Macaca fascicularis: one gene and its partners. Each later gene encodes a partner of the first gene's protein in a complex. Links are inferred from orthologs where the notes say so. Each region holds a gene or a part of one and is shown in the gene's direction. Other genes may lie near its edges.

The links.
Region 2: FLCN (region 1) and FNIP1 share a complex: the UniProt entries of both Homo sapiens proteins name them as parts of the lysosomal folliculin complex. The link is inferred for Macaca fascicularis from reciprocal best matches to the Homo sapiens genes FLCN and FNIP1.
Region 3: FLCN (region 1) and LAMTOR4 share a complex: the UniProt entries of both Homo sapiens proteins name them as parts of the lysosomal folliculin complex. The link is inferred for Macaca fascicularis from reciprocal best matches to the Homo sapiens genes FLCN and LAMTOR4.
Region 4: FLCN (region 1) and LAMTOR3 share a complex: the UniProt entries of both Homo sapiens proteins name them as parts of the lysosomal folliculin complex. The link is inferred for Macaca fascicularis from reciprocal best matches to the Homo sapiens genes FLCN and LAMTOR3.
Region 5: FLCN (region 1) and LAMTOR1 share a complex: the UniProt entries of both Homo sapiens proteins name them as parts of the lysosomal folliculin complex. The link is inferred for Macaca fascicularis from reciprocal best matches to the Homo sapiens genes FLCN and LAMTOR1.

Annotation. Positions count from the first base shown.
Region 1 is NC_088390.1:17,332,814-17,336,941, reverse strand, and holds the start of FLCN (folliculin), read left to right. Parts: upstream 1-1,328; 5' UTR 1,329-1,372; exon of another isoform or gene 1,373-1,607; intron 1,608-1,872; exon of another isoform or gene 1,873-2,076; intron 2,077-4,128. UniProt on the Homo sapiens protein: Multi-functional protein, involved in both the cellular response to amino acid availability and in the regulation of glycolysis.
Region 2 is NC_088380.1:138,333,933-138,338,102, reverse strand, and holds the start of FNIP1 (folliculin-interacting protein 1), read left to right. Parts: upstream 1-1,368; 5' UTR 1,369-1,464; coding exon 1,465-1,556; intron 1,557-1,802; exon of another isoform or gene 1,803-1,932; intron 1,933-1,938; exon of another isoform or gene 1,939-2,072; intron 2,073-2,671; exon of another isoform or gene 2,672-2,782; intron 2,783-4,170. UniProt on the Homo sapiens protein: Binding partner of the GTPase-activating protein FLCN: involved in the cellular response to amino acid availability by regulating the non-canonical mTORC1 signaling cascade controlling the MiT/TFE factors TFEB and TFE3.
Region 3 is NC_088377.1:48,815,805-48,819,847, forward strand, and holds the start of LAMTOR4 (ragulator complex protein LAMTOR4), read left to right. Parts: upstream 1-1,237; 5' UTR 1,238-1,311; coding exon 1,312-1,314; intron 1,315-1,834; coding exon 1,835-1,915; intron 1,916-4,043. UniProt on the Homo sapiens protein: As part of the Ragulator complex it is involved in amino acid sensing and activation of mTORC1, a signaling complex promoting cell growth in response to growth factors, energy levels, and amino acids.
Region 4 is NC_088379.1:105,533,770-105,537,952, reverse strand, and holds the start of LAMTOR3 (ragulator complex protein LAMTOR3), read left to right. Parts: upstream 1-1,383; 5' UTR 1,384-1,528; intron 1,529-1,806; 5' UTR 1,807-1,843; coding exon of another isoform or gene 1,844-1,852; intron 1,853-2,168; 5' UTR 2,169-2,185; coding exon 2,186-2,209; intron 2,210-3,798; coding exon 3,799-3,833; intron 3,834-4,183. UniProt on the Homo sapiens protein: As part of the Ragulator complex it is involved in amino acid sensing and activation of mTORC1, a signaling complex promoting cell growth in response to growth factors, energy levels, and amino acids.
Region 5 is NC_088388.1:70,863,871-70,868,039, reverse strand, and holds the start of LAMTOR1 (ragulator complex protein LAMTOR1), read left to right. Parts: upstream 1-1,365; 5' UTR 1,366-1,494; coding exon 1,495-1,536; intron 1,537-4,169. UniProt on the Homo sapiens protein: Key component of the Ragulator complex, a multiprotein complex involved in amino acid sensing and activation of mTORC1, a signaling complex promoting cell growth in response to growth factors, energy levels, and amino acids.

The DNA of each region.
Region 1 (4,128 bases):
TTGACCTCGTGTTGACCTCGTGACCCGCACACCTCGGCCTCCCAAAGTGTTGGGATTACAGGCGTGAGCCACCGCTCCCGGCCAAAACAAGGAAATTTAAAAGGAAAAAAAGTGACCTCTGTGATTTCAAAAACACAACCACCCATTTTTCTACTGTATTCCTGGTAAGCACACTCTGGAGACCTTGTGGCAACCACAGCCTCTGCCGCGGTGGAAGGCTCCCAGGCGGCCGCATCCCAGGGGACAGCGCGCGCAGGCGGGTCAGGCTCCGATTCCCATCTCCCTCCGGTCTTCGCTGGAACGACCCACACTACATCACGAACTAATGTCTTTCCAATTAACTTCTAAGTAGATAAATTTAGTAATAGGCGCTCAAGTTTTAAAAAATATTATTCAGGCCGGGCGTGGTGGCTTAAGCCTGCAATCCCAGCACTTTGGGAGGCCGAGGCGGGTGGATCACCTGAGGTGAGGGGTTCAAGACCAGCCTGGCCAACAGGGTGAAACCTCGTCTCTGCAAAAAATACAAAAAAATTAGCCGGGCATGGTGGCGGACGCCTGTAACGCCAGCTACTCGGGAGGCTGAAGCAGGAGAATCGCTTGAACCCGGGAGGCGGAGGTTGCAGTGAGGCGAGGTCGCCCCGCTGCACTCCAGCCTAGGCAACAAGAGCGAAACTCCGTCTCAAAAGAAGAATATTATTCAATAACTGATTTTCACATTTTTAAGAAAGACGTACTGAGGGAGGAAGACCGAATACCAAACATGCGCGCGCACACCGATCCCGAGTTCCGCAACCAACCTCCCCCGGGCGCCGCGCCTTCCCCGCATCACGTGACGGCTGTCGCCCGCACCTTCCATACTCTCAATATAGGGAGAGGCCGGGTTCCATCAGCAATGTAATAAAAACCATTGGTGAAGCAAAAAAAAAAAAAAAGGCCTGACAACCCCTTATAACGTTTTTTCTTTATTTTTCTCTTTTATGTGGACAGGGAGCCTTACGTTGATTATATTTACCCTCAAATCTCTTTTCGAAATGCTTTTTAAGTTTCAGCATACTCCCGCGCTTAAGGAAATGGTTTCCCCCAGCATCCCCAGCCGGTGCGGTCTGAACCATTGGGAACTTCCCCGAGGGGGGCACCGGAATAGGGGCGGCGGAAAAGGGTAGTTGTCGGGCAGCGGCCCCTGCTTCCCCGTCAGACCTCGGAGTTGCGGTACTCGGACTGTGTTCCTGGGCTTGCGGGAGCTGGCGAGGCTCGGCTCTCCTCGCGGTGGAGGACGCGCTCGGACGGCGCCTGCACCCCCACCGCAGGGCTGGGTGGTGTTACGGCCCAGAGAGTCACGCGCCAGGGTCTCGGCGGGGATGTGGGGCCGCGAGTGAGTGTGGTAACTCTTGGTTCTGCCAGCTCCCCGAGAGCCCGAACCGGGGCTTGAGAGCCTCGCCACCCCGGCTGACGTTCCGGCCGTGGGCTCGGGGGCTCTGTGTGTGATCCCGCCTGTCTGGGACCCGCAGCGACCACCTACCCAGCGCAGTCAGGGGCGGGGCTGAGACCCGGAGCGGGACCCCGGCTGCCGAGTCCAGGTGTCCCGCGGGCCTCGATTCGGGGAGCAGGTCGGCGGGGGTCTGAGGGTTTGGCGGAGGGGCATGTCCGAGTTTGCGTTGGTCCCAGGTGGACCAGTAATGGGGGAGGGTTTAGGGCCAGAGTCCAGGGCGTCGCCGAGACCCTGAGATTTGAAGATAGGTTGGGGGCACGCCCATTAACCAAGTTTCTGGGGATGAGGACTGTGACCTGGGTTCAAACCCCGGGTTAGGGTCGTTGATTTAGTCTCATTTGATCTTGCCATGAAACGGGACTGTTTCCTTTTCCTTCTCCCAGGTTTTGTCTTCGTTCTGGAGGAGAGGGTGTGTGATTTCCTCTTCTCTCAGTTTGGCGTTCAGGAGGGTCCTCTGATAAGCTAATAGGGTAGCACCGTGTCCTCCAGGGAGGGTGGAAGACCGCGCTTCTCTCCAGTGGAGAGTACTGTCAGATGCGTCCTTGTCACCTGGAAAGAATGGATTGGCTTGTGGATTGACGTCCAAGGTGTGGTTAGCAGCAGTCTCTTCAAATGGGGACGCAGGGCAAGGAGGAACTTGCTGGAAGTAGGTTCTGGCTCTCCAGGCTTTGGCCACAACCAGTTTAGTGCCAGATTATCACCGTGGTCATCAAGTAATTGAGTAATAGTGGCAGGTGACACTGTTTGCCCTTCTAGTGTCCTATGTCAGGGAGCTCTGTGAATGGAAATCCAGGGAAACGGTGGAAATAGAGCCACAGTGAGAGTGGGTCTGAGCTGGCAGTCATCCCCTGCAGAACTTTTCACCCTGGGCTTGTTGGGATCCCAGCTGCTGACTTAATGAGGCTCCCCAGTGGGAGACTAGTTTTAGAAGCTGTGTGTCCACTGCTGGTTAAGATCCGTTATAGTGCCTTGTTTATCTACAGTGCCCTTACTTAGTGGCCTCTAATTCTCCGCGGTGCTATGAGAAGAGCATAGGAAGTAGGGGTGAAATGGGCCAGGGTCAGGGCGCACCACGGGTGGTGGTGAGGTCACTGTCCAGGTCTGGGACTCAGCTATTGTGGGAGGAGGACATGGACAGACACTCTACCACATCAGGGAATTTGAATACTGTCTTTGGGTGTGATGATGAAGAGACTGTCACCCAGGGGATTTCGGCTTCCCCTGTGGGTTCTGGAAAGCTTGCTGGAAACAGACTCGTGAGACATATTCAAATCAGTTTGTTTTCTTAAGCAAACACCTCCTAGAGATTGGGATTGACCAGTGAGTAAAGAATGACCTCACGCTGCCCAGAATTCTGATTCCATGTGTAATGCAAATCTTGAGAGGCGTCTGTTTCTCAGCTCTTGGGTGGTATTCAGAGAGGTCTAGTAACATTTGGTGTCACCTGGCTGGTGAGGGTAGGCCCCAGTGACCGCAAAGCTAAATGTTCTCTAGGGCATCTCCCTCTCTTTCAGGGGCTGCCTGGGTCTCTGGCGTGCGTGATCCATGGAGTCAGAGTCGGAGCTCTTGTCTGACAAGTGCTTTTTTCTTTTTCTTTTTTTTTTTTTGAGACAGAATCTCACTCTGTCACGCAGGCTGGAGTGCGGTGGTGCGATCTCGGCTCACTGCCACCTCTGCTTCCAAGTTCAAGCGATTCTCCTGCCTCAGCCTCCTGAGTAACTGGCACTATAGGCATGCGCCACAAGGCCTGGCTAATTTTTATATTTTGTATTTTGTATTTTTTGAAATGGAGTTTTGCTCTTGTTGCCCAGGCTGGAGTGCAGTGGTGCGATCTTGGCTCACTACAACCTCCGTCTCCCAGGTTCAAGCAGTTCTCCTACCTCAGCCTCCCAAGTAGCTGGGATTACAGGCACCCACCACCATGCCTGGCAAATTTCTGTATTTCTAGTAGAGATGGGGTTTCAGCATGTTGGCCAGGCTGGTCTCGAACTCCTGACCTCATGGTCTGCCTGCCTTGGCCTCCCAAAATGCTGGGTTTACAAGCATGAGCCGCCGCACCCGGCAATTTTTGTATTTTTAGTAGATACAGGGTTTCACCATGTTGACCTGGCTGGTCACGAACTCCTGACCTCAGGTGATCCCCCCATTGGCCTCCCAAAGTGCTTGGATTACAGGCTTAAACCACCGAGCCTAGCGAGTGCTTTTCATTAAAAGGAAAAACGAATAAGAGTAGCCTATGTTTTGACCTGACATGGTGGCTCACGCCTGTAATCCCAGCACTTTGGGAGGCTGAGGCGGGAGAATTACCTGAGGTCAGGAGTTCAAGACCAGCCTGGCCAACATGGCGAAACCCCATCTCTACTAAAAATACAAAAATTGGCTGGGCCTGGTGGCGCGTGGCTCTAATTCCAGCTACTCGGGAAGCTGAGGCAGGAGAATCGCTTGAACCTGGGAGGCGTAGGTGGCAGTGATCCGAGATTACAGCACTGTACTGTAGCCTAGGCAACAGAATGAGACCCTGCCACAAAAATAAAAAATAAAAAAGAATAGCCCATGTTGGTGCTGAATGCTGGGAAGTGGCTTGTCAACATTGCCTCTGGTTTCCCTCTCCTGCTTGAGAAGGAAACTGCCAGGCCTAT
Region 2 (4,170 bases), on another chromosome or scaffold:
CAAAGTGCTGGGATTACAGGCGTGAGCCACAGCGCCCGGCCACACCTGGCTAATTAAAAAAATTTTTTTGTAGAGATGGGGTCTTACTGTTGACCAAGCTGGTCTGGAACTACTGAGCTCAAGCGATCTGCTTGCCTCTGCCTTGCAGTATTGGGATTACAGACGTGAGCTACCACGCCTGCCCAAAGTATTTTTATCCAGCCTTCCAACCATATACAAGTTATTTCCTAAATTTCTCTGAGGATTGCATCCCATTGTACAAGCTTCGTTATCCTGGAGGGGGAGTGAGTGAATGGATGGGGGTGCTGAAAATTTATAAGATTAGTTTGCTCCAAACTCTGGTATATTTTGGTTCCATGGGTTAAATAAGACTGTGAGGTCACATGTGAGCAACGTTTTTCTTTTTTTAGAAAGCGTTTCTTCCCTGTAACTTGGTTAAAATTCCACAGTTCCTCCCTTCTTCACACCTAACCATTAAGATAGATTAAAAATCTAAATAATTAGCGTAAAAGTTTAGATATCTGTACATACATGTCTTTAGGCTTCCTGACTTCGTTGGTTTCACCTGATTTTGTTGGTTACCAAGGAAACAGCCTAACTCCTGAGCCTCCAATCGCTAGCTCTTCCACGAGACTAATTCCTGATGTCAGGGTTTGAGGCACTAGTACAAACTCTGCCCGCAGTCCCTGCCCGAGGTCGTCTTTGCGGGGAGCCATGGCTGTGGCAGGGGTCCCGGCAGGTTCCTCCACCAGTCCCTGTGAGCCAGCCCCCGCGCTGTCCAGATCCCAGACCTCTCGCGGGCCGGAGCGGCCTTCTAAGGGCGGGCCTGGGGTCCTGGGCTCAAAGTCCAGCCTTGGCCGAGGCCCCACGGGTACGCTCGTGCGCCTTCCGTGCTCCAGGGGCCGCCAGACTCTCCCCGGCGCGGAATGGAGGTGTGAAGCCGCAGAAGCTAAGGAGGGGCTGACAAGGGAGAATAGGTTGCCCATGGTTCCCTACGCAACTCTGTGGGTGCGGGGAGTCGAAGGCTTCTGCACTCCAAGGCTCCTGGCATCGTCCCCGCGCCACCCTGGCGCAGCCTCTGATGGTAGCCGACAGCCTCACAGAGGAGGATCGAGACTGAGCCTACTCCCCCTACACATCCCTAGCCACCTTCCAGTCTTGTCCTCTCGGCACACGCCCCGCCCCGTGAGCTGCCACGTGACGGGAAACGCCAGTGCGCCTAATGGAGGTAGCTCCACCCCACGCCCCCGCCTTGCCCCTGCTCCGCGCGCCGCCACGTGATGCGGCCCACCTCCAGCCAATGAGCGCCGGCCTTGCCTCGCGCCCCGCCCCGCGCGCCGTGGCCGTTTGAAGTGACTAATTTCTGTCATATGACTGAGGCGCCCATGGGGGTGGCGGGGCGGCTCTAGGAGCAGGGGCCTACCAAGCGCCCAGCGGAGCGACCCCTGCCTGGCCGTGGGGAGCATGGCCCCTACGCTGTTCCAGAAGCTCTTCAGCAAGAAGACCGGGCTGGGCGCGCCCGGCCGCGACGCCCGGGATCCAGATTGCGGGTTCAGGTAGGGCGCTGTGGGGCGGGGGTCGCGGAGCCGATGGCCTTGTGGACTCTGGGCTCCAGGGGTGTTGGGGCCTTCGGTTTTCCGACCCAAGCGGAAGCGCCGCGCCGAGACCAGCATCTGGTCCTCGGTGGGGTGGAGCCGGCTGCTGGCTCGCGCTGAAGGGTTGGAGCGAGGTCCTACCTCTTCTCTTACCCCACCCGCCTCGCCGTTGCCCCTTCCCCCTTCTCCCGTCGGTTTGTTTACTACCTGACCCCAGCCACGCGCGACTCTGCTCCTCCGGATCTAGCACCGCGGCCTGAGACTTCGGGTCCACACGCCTTCCTGGCACCGAGTAGAGTTGGGCGCGGGCTGGATTGGACCTCAGCCGCCGTACTCCGGGCGGCGAAGTTCTCCCCTCCTCCCCGTGACCAGTTGTCCTCCGGGCGCTGCGTTCCAGCTCCGTTGGCGTTGTGGAGAGAGCGGCACGTTTGGCCAAGCTTCTGAGTTGAGAGAAGGCTGGAGGAGCAAGTAGGCAAGGTGCCGTTCTTTCAGGTTTCTTGGACGCTAAAATTGGAGGTGTGCGGTAACCGGACCGAGCGACCTTAATGTTATCGAAGGAGAAATGTGAAACTTGAGTTTAGAGTTACTACTGAAGCAAGACAACATTAAATGAAATCTGGCCTTGGAATTGGCCGTAGATTCTTCCTCTTTAGAACTGTTACTGAAAAGGAGTCTTAAAAATTGAAAATGTTAGCAGAGCATTTTGTGGTGGTACAGGCTTTGTTGATTTTTCGTTGTAGTACCTGTTGCTGGCAGAGTAGCTTTTCAGAATTGTAAGATTTGATATAAACCTGAATTCAAGGTGAAATTTAGTCGTTAAACCTGAGGAGATTATGTCCAAACAGCCTTTGTAAATATTGCAGTGTGGAAACTTGCAAATATAACTAGGCTAAATGTCAAATACCACACAAACTTGGTAGGATAGCAAAGAGCCCAGTTGTACAACAGTAGTAGAAACAACAAAAAAAGAGAGAATCTGTCAAATTTTGGAACAGGCAAAGTTGAAATGATTGTGCCACACTGGTTTAAGAAATTTTGCTATTCTTAAAATTATTCACTCTCTCTTGCTAATGCAGATCTCATCAGGAAACATTCAGTAAATGCATATGGAATTGAAGACATTTTTCTACGTATCTCTCTTTTCCCCTGAAAAATAAATGTGTCATGCTCATCTGTCTCTCTCTAAACATTTCTTTAGTGTTTTTCCTTTGAAAAATGAAAGTGCAGCTTAGATGATACTACATTGAGCCATCTACTAACTCAAGCGACAGTAGGAAACAGGTTTCGATAGGATATTTCAAAGGTGGCATTTGAATAGACAACTGCTTTCTATTTCTGGGCAAAGATTGACTTTGGGTACCTAGGTTTACAAGGGTCTCAAGTCGCTCATATGAAAAAACATTTTCACGTCTGTTTTTCAAAAATGTAAAGTCTACTATATAGTTGCGTAATACTATTTTACAGTTACCAAAGAACTTTCTCATCAGTTATCTTATTTGATGTTTCACAACAATCTTACGAGATAGAGCAAGTAGCAGTGCAGATAAGTATATATTTCTGCCAGTGGAAGTAAGAATTATCTGTAAGCCCAATAACTGCAGTACATTATAGAATTGTTCACTTTAAAAATAAAATGTGTGATTGTGAGCAATGAAAACTGATGAAACAGAATAGGCATATCTGAAGGAAAAAAAACCATTCTGGTTAATGTCACATAGCTAGTAACTTACAGATCTAATCAACCCAGGGTTTTTAAAAAACTATTTCATTGAGCTATAATTTATACACAATAAAGTATAATACATTTTAAGCATACATTGTATACAGTTGTATACCCACCACCTCTATGAAGTTTTAGAACACTTCCATTACCCAAAAAGTTCCCTCATGCTCTGTTGCAGCCTAACCCCTCCTCACCCAGGGCAGTCACTGATACTTTCTGTCATAATCTTGTGTCTGGCTTGTTTGTTGCTTTTATTAGTTCCCTCTTTTTTTTTTTTTTTTTTGAGACAGGGTCTCTGTCAACAGGCTGGAGTGTGGTGGCACGACCTCGCCTAAAGCACCGTCAATCTCCTAGGCTCAAGGGATCCTCTCACCTTGGCCTCCCAGAGTTCTGGCCTTACAGGGATGAGCTACCACACCCAGCTAGTTAATTCAATTTTATCACTGAATGGTATTCCATTGTATGGCTATACCATGATTTGTTTATTCACTCACTAGTTGGAGGACATTTGGTTTGTTTTTTTTTCCCAGATTTGGGCTATTATAAATAATGCTGCTGTTAATGTTTGTGTATAAGTCTTTATGTGGACATATATTTTCATTTCTCTTGGGTAGATACCTAGGAGTAGAGTTGCAGAGTCATATGCTAAGTGTTGTGTTTAACATAAAAAATTGTCAAACTTTTCCAAAATAGTTTTACCATTTTGTGTTCTCAGTAGCAATGCATGAAGATTACCGTTTCTTCACAATATCTTCAATATTGATACCGTTTTTTAATTAAAAATTTTTATTGTAAAAACCATATAAAATTTACTTTTTTTTTTTTTTTTTTTTGAGATAGGGTCTCACTTGT
Region 3 (4,043 bases), on another chromosome or scaffold:
TCATGGCTCACTGCAGCTTCAAACTCCTGGGCTCAAGCAATTCTCCCACCTCAGCCTCCCCGGTAGCTGGGACTACATGTGCGGTATCATGCCTGGTTAATTTTTAAATTTTTAGAGATGGGGTCTTGCTATGTTGCCCAGGCTTCTAGAATCACTCTTCATATTACTCACTAACACTGCCTCCACCACATTAATACGGCAACAGGTCTAGAAATTATTTAAAACAAAAATTTCCAATGTTTACATTGTGTGATGTATGTATGTATGTATGTATGTATGTGTGTGTGTGTGTATCATTCCAAGGTACTGTTTCTAATTTTTTCCTGCAGAGAATATTCAGTATTGTATCTGCATTGGCTAGCTGGTGATTCTATTCACCATCACATTGTCCCAGACTGAATCTGAAGACAAAAAACCACTTTGGGAACAAAATCTTTTTTTTTTTTTTTTTTTTTTTTTTTGAGATGTAGTCTCGCTGTCTCCCAGGCTGGAGTGCAGTGGCGTCATCTCGACTCACTGCAAGCTCCACCTCCCAGGTTCGCGCCATTCTCCTGCCTCAGCCTCCCGAATAGCTGGAACTACAGGCGCCCGCCACCACGCCTAGCTAATTTTTTGTATTTTTTAGTAGGGACAGGGTTTCACTGTGTTAGCCAGGATGGTTTCCATCTTCTGACCTCGTGATCCGCCCGCCTCGGCCTCCCAAAGTTCTGGGATTACAGTTGTGAGCCACCGCGCCCGGCCAAGGGAACAAATTCTTGTCTTCAACAAAGAGCGGTCTTGAGTAGGCATAAAAGTAGCATTTGAAGGTTGGGCGCCCAGCCTTGAATAGCTTTTTACATGCATTGCACGTTATTTCCTTTTATTATCACGTTTTTTGGGTCCAGTCTTAAACCTGGGAAGGCATTCGTTTGGGAGGTCACACTGGCGGGCATCCTGGTTCAGGCGGAACCCAGACTCTAGAAAGCGCGCGCGGAGCCACACGGTCAACCCTGTCCCACTCCTGGCCCTCCCACACCGTCCCCTCCGCGGAAGCACTCCCGCCTCCTCTCGCTCAGGCACTGACTGAGAGGCGGAGAGATGGGTGTTAAAGAGGGGATATCACCAATCAACGTGCGCCTCCGGGAAGGAGCGCTTCGCACTGGCTGGTTGGGTCTGACGACGTGGCCACGATCCAATCCTCATGCTAGAGGCGCGGCTAAAGGGTAGGGAAGCAAGCAGAAGGAGGAGCGCGCCGGGTGCGAGCACGTGACCGGGGCCTGAAGCCGGAAGCTACCTATCTGGTAGGGAGCTCCACCAGCACCGAAGACTGCGATGGTGAGTGAGGACGCATGCGCGGGAGGACCCGCCGGGGGTTCCGCGTCTCTGCTCCCCAATCTGTGTGGTTTCCCCCTCGTGGGTCTGCGCTCCACCCTCACCTCCTATCCGCTCGGGGAGGAAGACGGGATGGAGATGGGAGGGATGGCGACGGGAATGCTGGGGAGGGGTCTGTGGGAGGGTGTTCTGGGGCTGCGGGTAGTCTGCAGGTCAGGGGCGGGGAGGTGGAGAGAGGGTCTGGGGGCAGGGGCCAGTGGGGCAGCGAAGTCCCCTCGGAGTAGCATAGGTGGAGCGTGGAAGGCCAGGGGAGCCCGGGGGCCGAGAGTGGGGGCAGATGGAGGCTCGGGAAGATCAGTATTGAGGACCATGTAGGGGGAAGGGAGCCGGGAAAGGACCTGGCTGGGGAATGAGAAAACCTGGGGCCATCGCCAATCAAGAGACTTGGGTTTGTAGGTGAAGGGTATCAGGGGCCATCCATCCCTCTAGCATGCTTCTCACTACTTGCATCTTTACCCACTAGACTTCTGCACTGACCCAGGGGCTGGAGCGAATCCCAGACCAGCTCGGCTACCTGGTACTGAGTGAAGGTGCAGTGCTGGCGGTGCGTTCTGGAAAAGGGAGGGGGTCCCTTAGTGCACACAGCCCGGTAACCCCTTCTAATATTGGCCCTTCTTTTCTCGACTTTTACCTGGTTTGCGGTCTGGCATCTATTAGGTTGGTACAAAAGTATTTGCAGTTTTTGCAATTACTTTCAGTAATCAGTCTGTGGAATCTTAGTCTCCTAACGGTTGCGGTTTATTTATTTATTTATTTATTTACACTTTTTGAAACTGAGTTTCATTCTTGTTGCCCAAGCTGGAGTGCAGTGGTGCGATCTCCGCTCACTGCAACCTCCGCCTCCGGGGTTCAAGCGATTGTCCTGCCTCAGCCTCCAGAGTAGCTGGGATTACAGGCATGTGCCACCACGCTCGGCTAATTTTTTGTATTTTTAGTAGAAACGGGGTTTCACCGTGTTAGCCAGGCTGGTCTCAAACTCCTGACCTCAGGTGATCCACCTGCCTCAGCCTCCCAAAGTGCTGGGATTACAGGCGTGAGCCAACATCCCTGGCCTTTATTTGATATTTCTTAAAGAGTCATTTGTATTTTGTTCCATAGTACTGTATAGTGTTAGGTCTCTAGATGTTTTTGATTTAGCTAGAGACAAAGCTTAAGGTTAAGTGTTGAAAACAATACAGGTGGTAAAAGACTATTGAAGGAATCCAGGATATTAAAAATTCAACATGTTATGACAAGGTAACTAACTTCCCTGGAGGTAGGAATTCAGCCCAGCTTAAAGGAGAGTATTTACAGTGGGGAGGTGGACATATTTGCAGGTGTGTGGCACTGACCTTTCTAAACTGATGGTAAGTCTGTGCTGAAAAGATTTGGGAAGATTTGAGGGAAGAGGAAGATATGGTCAGGGAGGATCTGATTGTGAAGGATCTTCAAGGCCAGGTTAACACACTTGAACTTATTCTTCTTGGAGGTAATACAGCTTGAAAGGTTTTTTAAACAGAAACAAGACCCAGTGAGGTGGTTGAGCAATATTGTTGTTAGTGATGTGAAGATGGGCAGAAGGAGGCATCATTAAGAGATTAGACTGGGCCAGGCATAGGTGGCTCAGGTCTTTAGTAATCCCAGCATTTTGGGAGGCCAAGGCGAGTGGATCACGAGGTCAGGAGAGCTAGACCATCCTGGCCAACACGGTGAAACCCTGTCTCTGTTAAAAATACAAAAACAAAATTGGCCAGGCGTGGTGGTGGGCGCCAGCTACTCGGGAGGCTGAGGCGGGAGAATGGCGTGAACCAGAAAGGCGGAGGTTGCAGTTAGCCAAGATTGCACCACTGCACTCCAGCCTGGGTGACAGAGCAAGACTCCGTCTCAAAAAAAAAAAAAAAAAAAAAGAGATGAGACTGGGCAAGTGGCAGTAAGAAGGAGCAAGGAGAGAAGAGTTTTGTTTTTGTTTTTGTTGTTTTTTGAGACAGAGTCTCGCTCTGTGGCCCAGGCTGGAGTGCAGTGGCATGATCTCAGCTCAGGGCAACCTCCGCCTCCCAGGTTCAAGCGATTCTCCCGCCTAAGCCTCCTGAGTAGCTAGGATTACAGGCGTATGCCACCACACCCGGCTAATTTTTGTATTTTTAGTAGAGATGGGGTTTTGCCATGTTGGCCAGGCTGGTCTCGAACTCCTGACCTTGTGATCTGCCCACCTCAGCCTCCCAAAGTGCTGGGATTACAGGCATGAGCCACCGCGCCCGGCCCTTTTTTTTTTTTTTTTTTTAGGACAGAGTCTTGCTGTCACTCAGGCTGAAGTGCAGTAGTGTGATCACATCTCATTGCAGTCTTGAACTCCTGGGCCCAAGCGATCCTCCCACCTCAGCATCCCAAGTAACTAGAACTATAGGCAAGCACCACCACGCCCAGCCATTAAAAAAAAAAAAATTTATAGGGACAGGGGTCTTGCTATGTTGCCCAGGTTGGTCTCGAAGTCCTGGCCTCCATCAGTCCTCCTGCCTTGGCCTCCCAAAGTGCTGGGATTATAGGTATGAGCTACTGTGCTTGGCTGGGAGAAGATATTTTAAAGGAGGAATCAGTATATCTTGCTAATGACTAGAAATAGGTAATAAAAGAAATACTTCTCTAGCTAGAACTCTAAAGCCTGGAAGAGTGATGATGCCTTAAGAAACATGTTC
Region 4 (4,183 bases), on another chromosome or scaffold:
GGTAGGTGAGAGAATCAATATAGGGGCCAGATCCCCATAAGAACGATATATAAACCATGATGCTGATATTGAACTTTATCCTAAGTCAATAAAGTTGATTTTCAAGAAAGGAGTTAAATGATCCGATTTGGGTTTTTAGAACATCATTTTTGTTGCTCTATGGAGACTGGAGGGCAAAAGAGAATGTAAGAAGAATAGGAGGTTATTGTCAAGAGAGAGATGATCATGGCTTGCACTAGGGTACGAACATAGATAGGTGACTAGTTTTCAAAGATAGGAGGTAGAATCAACAGAACTCTGATTAGATTTGTGACATGCAAGCAGCAATTAAAAACCAGGCTAAAATTTTCTGAAAATTTGGCTATGAAAGGGAGTAGAGGAAAAACAGGGTGGTAGCTGAAAGAGGATGTGATTTCTAAAGAAGCTTTTCTTTTGAGCATCTCGCTCTGTCACTCAAGCTGGAGTTCAGTGGGGCGATCACCACTCAATGCAGCCTCAAACCCTGGGCTGAAGGGATCCTCATGCCTCAGCTTCCGGAGTACCTGGCGCACGCCACGTAAGGCTAATTCTTTATTGTTGTTATTATTATTAGTAGTAGTAGTAGTAGTAGAGATGGGGTTCTATCTTGCCAGGCTGGTGTGGAACTCCTGGGCTCAAAGGATCGTCCCGCCTCGGACTCCCAAAGTGCTGGGATTACAGGCGTCAGTCACCGCACCCGGCAAGGCTTTTTTTTTTTTTTTTTTTTTTTTTTTCCAATTATTATTTATTATATGAGACCTTACTAATTTTTTAAAATTCTGATGTAAAAGGGAACATAGAAAGTACCCGTAATCCCGTGTCTGCATGTTAAAAGTAGACGCTTGAAGTGCTCCAGAAAACCCATGGCTCCTCCCCATTCAATCTAGATAAGGCCTTGAGTAAAGAGCACCCATGGGGAAGTCACAAGAACCTAGGAAACAAGTCAGAAACCTGTGGACCTGATACTTCCAATCACAGGCAATCTGTTGCTTGCTCTTCAGCTCATCACACCATCCCCTCAAATTTCTTCATCTACAAGAAAAGGTTTTAAGATAACGGACCCTGAAAAACTAATGACATTTATACACCCTCTCTGCACAAGAATGTCTTGTAACACATAACCTTGCTTGCATTTTCTGGGGTCCTCGGGGTCCAGCGATCTCGTACAAATCCTCTACCCCACAGCTGACGTCCCTCGGCCCGTGACACAAGGCGCAGGCGCAAGACGCGGCCCGCGGTGGGCGGGGGAGGGGCGGGGCGCGTCGGGCGGCCGCGCCCTCGAAGCTTCCGCCAGGCCCTTCCGGAAATCCAGTATCGTGGGGCGACGGCGTAGAAAGTGCTTCCCGGAGCGCCGAAGAGGTCATCAATCATGTGACGGTGGCTTGAGGAGGAACCTGTCTTTAAAGCTGTCCCTGAAGTGACAACGGAGAGAACCAGGCAACCCAGAAACCCCAGGTAACTGGCGCTACTTTGCCTGGTTTGAGGCCTAGTCCCGGAGGTGGCGCGGGTGGTGAGACTAAACAGAAGGAGAGGGCCCCCTCTTCTTTTCTTTGGGCCTAGCTCTTTGGGGTGGAGGGGCAGGGATGGGGTGGGCTGAGGCAAGGCGTGCCAGCTGAGTACCCGTGGGGGTGTTGGGGCACTCCGACTCCCACTGGGCTCGCTGGGCCAAGCCCTAGAACCGCGGGGGTTTTGCCGGGTTCTGACCAGGGCTGATCTTGCTTATTAAGTTGGGGGTGGGGAGGACGAGGAAGCCAAAGAGGTAAGAGTCACCGGGAGTTTCTCTTCCAGGCGTGGAGATTGATCCTGCGAGAGAAAGGGGTTCATCATGGCGGATGTGAGTGACACCCCCACATAAGAGGAAGGGAGAGTGGGGAATTTGGAGGGGAATACTGAGCGGGGAGAGGTAGAAGATCCTCCCATCCCCACCCATCCCAGTTAATTATTTTCTCTTGTATGTGAAATGGGAGACTAATATGAATGAATTTGCAGGATCCTGAGTTTCTGCCTCGAATGGGGGTGGAGGACACTAAGGTGCTTGAGACTGAGAAAATTATATTCTCCCTACTCACCAATCCAGCTGGGGTATAAGAGAGGCTCTGTGTATTTACCATTTGAAATTCTGAATGATGGTTCGCTGCTTTTCCTGTCAGAATTTGGTCAGTAGGACATGTACCCAGAATACTTTTTTCCAGTAAGTGGTAACAATATCTTATTAGGTTTATTGTGGCAATTTACGATGATTTCTAACCCATGCCTCTTTAGAAACATAACATGAAATAAAATGAGGGGTGTGTGTGTGTGTGTGTGTGTGTGTGTAGGATGAGAGCAAAAATAAGCCAATAGTCATAACATGAAATAAAATGATCATTCGGGTTTGGAGAATAGTAAGTGTTGGAGGCTCAAAACAACAGATATCTGATTAATCCATGCGAGGTCAAAATTGATACCTCAAGTGTCAGTGAAATTCCTGGGATGAGAGAGTGTAATGAGACAAAATAAGATAATCTTCTGGCCGGTGAGGTGGCTTCGTCTGTAATCTCAGCATTTTGGGATGCCGAGATGGAAGGATCACTTGAGGCTGGGAGTTCAAGATCAGCCTGGGCAACGTAGCAAGACCCCGTTATACAAAAAGAAATTTAAAAACCAGGCGCATTGATAACCCTGTAGTCCCAGCTATGCTGGAAGTGAGGCGGAAGGATTGCTTGAGCCCAGAACTTGGAAGTTGCAGTGAGCCCCAGCTTAGAAAAATAAAATAGTCTTATATTTCTTTAGTCTTAACTGTGTTTAGTGTTAAACACTTGACACACTTCGCCATTTATCTTATATTCTGTAAGTCTGGGCTGGGCGTGGTGGCTCACGTCTGTAATCCCAGCACTTTGGGAAGCCAAGGCGGGTGGATCACCTGAGGTCAGGAGTTCGAGACCAGCCTGGCCTACATGGTGAAACCATATCTCTACTAAAAATACAAAAAATAAGCTGGGACGTGGTGGTGGGTGCTTATAATGCCAGTTACTCGGAGGTTGAGGCAGGAGAATCGCTTGAACCTGGGAAGCAGAGGTTGCAGTGAGCCGAGATTGCGCCATTGCACTCCAGCCTGGACAGCAAGAGCAAAACTCCCTCTCAAAAACAAAAAAAAAGACTGTTGCCTCACATAGTCATATATAATTTATTTTAGGTCCTTAAACAGAATATTTTAATAATTATGTTATAATAATATGCCTTACACTGTTTCATTATTTGTTGAGTAGGTGAGTTCAACAAATAATGAAACAATGGAAGGCATATTTTTATAATGTGAGACAACAGTCTTACAGAAGTCATATCACCTTACCCAAGACCATTAAAATGATGGTGGAAAGTCTATCTTTGAACCTGGAAAGGTGTTTATAATGTCTTCTCAAGTGAACACAATAGCAACAGGATATAAAACACTAGTATGAAAATTATGATATATTTTTATGGCTAAAATGTATTTGTGTTTCCCATTTCTAGGTATGCTAATCCATGCAACTTCTCAAAAAACTTTAACAGCACTCTTATGATGTAGGTTCTATATTAGCCCTATTCAACAAATAATGAAATAGGCTTAGGGAAAAAAGGTTAGTTAACTTACTCCAAGTTGCATGACTAGTAAACATCCAAATCAGACAGAGAAAGATAAAACACAGCAAGAAAGGTTATGAATGATAACTGAACGTCCCTAAAATTTGGATAGGACAGGATCTAGAAAACAGTGGAAGGCCTATTATTATAACATGATTTTTTAATATTCTCTTTCAGGACCTAAAGCGATTCTTGTATAAAAAGTTACCAAGGTAAGAAATTTTTAATTTGTTACTGAATAAATTCTATATGCCATATGTTAATTTTATGAAGTATTTTGTCTGTGTATTTTCAATGTTTTGAAGTATCTCTGAGATTTCCTTTAATATGAATATTTTTTGCCAGCATCATGTCCTCTGGAAAATTTTCGTCACAACCGCTTTCCTCATTTATGTCAATAAGTTTGCCTTCACTGAGTTCTCTGTGTATCTAGAGGGATAGTGTCAGCATTCCCTTGGTCACCTGTTTCTTCTATAACTCTTTATTTGAAATTCACTTCCAGCATTATTACTTTTCATTTCTTTGCTGTATTTCATCTTTGTCGGCCAGTTTCCTCTTTTTA
Region 5 (4,169 bases), on another chromosome or scaffold:
GGGGTGAGCCAAGGTGATGGGGTGACTGTAATGTACTCATTGATACGCAAGTTTTTTGTAAGCAAGGCCATGCCTTGGGCCACAGGTAAGAGTCAGAACCTGTCATTGTGCTCTAGGAACTCCCAAGTTTGGTAGGTGAGACTGACCCAGGAACATAGAATATAGTGTGATCACTATTGGATGTTCCACGACTACAGGGACTTTGGCTGTTTTGTGAACTGATGCATATCCAGATATAACAGTGTGTGGCACATAGTAGATGCTCAGCAAATATTTGTTAATAGATGCATGAATTAACACTGGATGAGGATTAAGCATAGAGAGCTGGACATGTCCAGAGAATGGGGTCAGAGAAGGTAATCAGGAGGACATTGTACTGAGTCTCGAAGACAGTAGGCAGACCAGGCTGCATGTGCAAAGTCCAGTAGATCAATCAGGAAACATCATTTCTCTATGTCCAGTGAAACAGATTGCTCACCCCTCCACCCCCTCACCCCTCACCTCAGAACATGCAGTGGCAGAGAGGTGTCAGGCTCTGCGTGACTTTGATATGTCAGATGGGTAATGTGCCAAAACAAGATTTGAGGGTGGGCGCATTTCACACACGCGGAATCACACGCGCATGAACAACAAATGGATCACTATACAATTTTGGACGGACTTGGACCTGTGTTCAGGGCCCAAGGGAAGACATGGGGGAGGAGGGGCGTTTAGGAAAAGAGAACTGATGGTCAGCTTTGTGCGTTAGATTTACTATGGGTCCTGTTAAAAAAAAGGCAGAATTAAAGATAAAAGCCTGAAGGCAGAGAGGTCAGTGAGGTGACTTCTATCTCCTCCACCAGGATTTATCTCCGCTCCGCGTCAGCATGTGAAGGTAGTATAAGGTCCCTTCTTCCTGTAAGTCGCAGATCCCCAGCCCAGGTGCAGAATACACCCTCCGTGTATTCACCCCCAGCCCAGCTGGGCGATACACCCTCTGTTCCCCTACTGGGTACCGGTCATCTGGATCCTCTGTGTGTGCACCCAGGCTGTACGATCTAGGAGCGTCAGGCCTGGATCCCACTCGCCCCTCGCATGGCATTTAGAAGAGTATATCACGAGGGCATACAAGGGCATTTGGTACGAGTTCGCTCAATGGCCCAGAGAAGTGGCCTAGTGGCCACGAGAACGCATAACACTATTCACGACGGCCACTACTGCCAGTTTAGAGACTGGAAAGATGAAGTCATGTGATCCGCCCCTCCCTTTCCTCGCTTCACTTGCCTGCGTGTCCGGTTACGCCTTCCTATTGGTTGACAACGATCACGCGCTAGCGGGCGGGACCGGAAGCCGGGGTATTGCCTGAGGCGGCCCAGCGGCTCCGGGAGAAGGGATACTGGGGGTGGCGGCGGGTGGTTGCCTGCGGGAGGCAGTTGCGGGTCATGTGACCGGAAGGGCTCCTGACGGACGCCGTCCCTCCTCGGCGCGGCCTGAGCGCCCGGCCTGACCCCTGCCATGGGGTGCTGCTACAGCAGCGAGAACGAGGACTCGGACCAGGTGCGGCCGCGGCAGGCGGGGCTCGGGAATGAGGGCTAAGACCCTGGGGCTTGGGGCCCCAGAAAGAAATCTGCGGAGAACGGGCCAGGACTGCAGGGCTCGATGAATACGGAGGCCTGGAGGGGACAGATTACACAGGAGACGCCAAGCCGGACTCCTACCCCAGTTAAAGCCCCAGCTTTCTACGCGGTCCCCGCCTCGGGGTGTACAGGCAGCCGCCTGTCCGGCTCGCTCCCACCACTTCCGTTTGCTCCTACCTTCAAAACTTTCCAGATTCAAGGATCCTCAGTCTAGGTCCCCGGGAAATACTCCCTTCCCAGCTTCCTGTCTTCTCTGTATTAGTGGGCTTTGCGAATCCATTGCAGGGGTGGGTAAGCTGAGGCCCTGAGTTAGGCTGTCCTGCGATGAATCAGGAATTCATGTATCGTCTTAGTCCCTGGGGTTGCAGAAGGAAGGTCGCTGCTAGTTTAGGGCCAGAGGACGATTCTGGAAGTTGGTGGCCTTTGAGTTGGCCAATGAAGGATTTAATGGATACAGTGAGGACATCGGGACATGGGGGAAATTGTCTGGGAAGCAACAAAGAGGGTTTAGCTTTGACTAGATTGTGGTAAAAGAGAAATGGAGCGGGAAGTTCATTTGGGTCTGAGTTTGGCTTGCCTCAGTGCAGTCTGCCTGGGGCCTGAGGGTTCCTTTAGCTGGAGACATGCCTGTTCTGAGAATTTGGCTGTAGATCTGATCCCTCTGACGAAAGGCTTAGGCTGGGGAGACCTGTACAGTTTTAAATTCTCCCTCTTCCTCTTAGTGCATTCTCACTTCTCTCCACATTCTAATCCCTGCCCCGCCTGGCCTGACATTCAAGGATGAAGTCACAAGTTGCTGTCCACTCTTTTTTGATCGTCTCTAACCCTGGATTCTACATTTGAACATATAGTAGACCTGAGAAAGTAGAAAGGTTTCAAGTAGCTCACAGTCTAATAGGGGAGATGGTCACAAAAATAGATTATATCACTGGTACTTGGGAAGTAGTTATTTCTTCAGTGAACGTATTTTGGATTAAGGGCTTAAGCTTAGGAAAATGTCATTTGTGGCCGGGCGCGGTGGCTCAAGCCTGTAATCCCAGCACTTTGGGAGGCCGAGACGGGTGGATCATGAGGTCAGGAGATCGAGACCATCCTGGCTAACACGGTGAAACCCCGTCTCTACTAAAACAGGCAAAAAAAAACTAGCTGGGTGAGGTGGCGGGCGCCTGTAGTCCCAGCTACTCGGGAGGCTGAGGCAGGAGAATGGCGTGGACCCGGGAGGCAGAGCTTGCAGTGAGCTGAGATCCGGCCACTGCACTCCAGCCTGGGAGACAGTGAGACTCCGTCTCAAAAAAAAAAAAAAAAGAAAATGTCATTTTTATGGGAAGCAAGGGTCGCTTCTGGTTCTCAATTCTTCATACACCCAATGAACACATATTTCCTTTGCTCTGTGTTAGGCATGTGTCATGCCTAATACCTCTCACTTCACCTCCACCTTTTTGAGAAAGAGACAACAATAACCCTGCCTACTGGGAGAGCTGTGGCCTAGTGGGAAATTGTCCCTTAAAGCATAATGTGGACTCTTGCAGGGAATGAGTCAAGAAGGATTAATGCCTTATGAGAAAGGATACCAGCTTCTACTTGGAAGGGAGAGCTGGGCCTGCTGCTCTCCTGAATCTCTACCTTCTCCTTGGTGGGCTCTCCTTTCTGTTCCTAACACCCAGAGAAGATGTTTAATCACTGCTGGGTGATTTGAGGCCTCACGTAGCAAGAGCCGTAACCATCCACCTCCCAGAGTCCCTCTTTCAGTTCTTGGGCAGGCTCCTCTCCCACTCTCATCTCTGTCTCTTTATCACAATAAAAAATGTACAACACATTACAGTTTACAAAGGGCCGTGATAGTTATCTAATTTGACTCTTGCCAGACATCTGTCATATTAGTGTGGGTTATGTCTATTTAAAGGTGAGGAAAAAGTTCAGAGAAGCTAAGTGATTTGGCCAAGCTGGGAAGTGCTAATGCCCGGGTGTTCTGATGCCAAGCCATGTACTTTATCCATGGGGCCAAGCAGTCTCATCTATGCCCCTAGACCAGGTGGCCAGTCATGGGCAGGGTGCTATGTCTGTGCTAAGGTAGACAGTGAAACCCTGCCTCTTGGGTTACACTGACGCAGAGACAAACCTTGATGTGACAAACCTAACCCATGCTCCACTCGCACTTCGGGAGTGGGGTGATACTTGTCTACTCTGAAGGGGGTAGCATGGCCTCTTCTTTAAGTCTAGGTTTCAAGAAAACAACCTTGTTCCTCCCTTGATCTTAGCTGAAGGCTGAGAAGTGATCAGCCAGCCTTCTTCTTGAAGAACCCCTGATAGGGAAGAGACTACCCTGTCCTGCAGGAAGATCTGTCTGAAGTGGAGCTGGGAGAAGGACAGACACATAGGAAGCTAACTTGGGCCTCATTATGGAGCCAGCTTTCCTTAGAAATACATAGTTTTATCTTTGGCAAACATTTTGTCTTTTTAGCTCTTTAATGCTGAGCCTGTGTTTTAGGGAGGAAGGGTGTCTGGGAGTTTACAGAGGTGATGGGGCAAAGCCCACAGCTTCTGTCTTTTGCT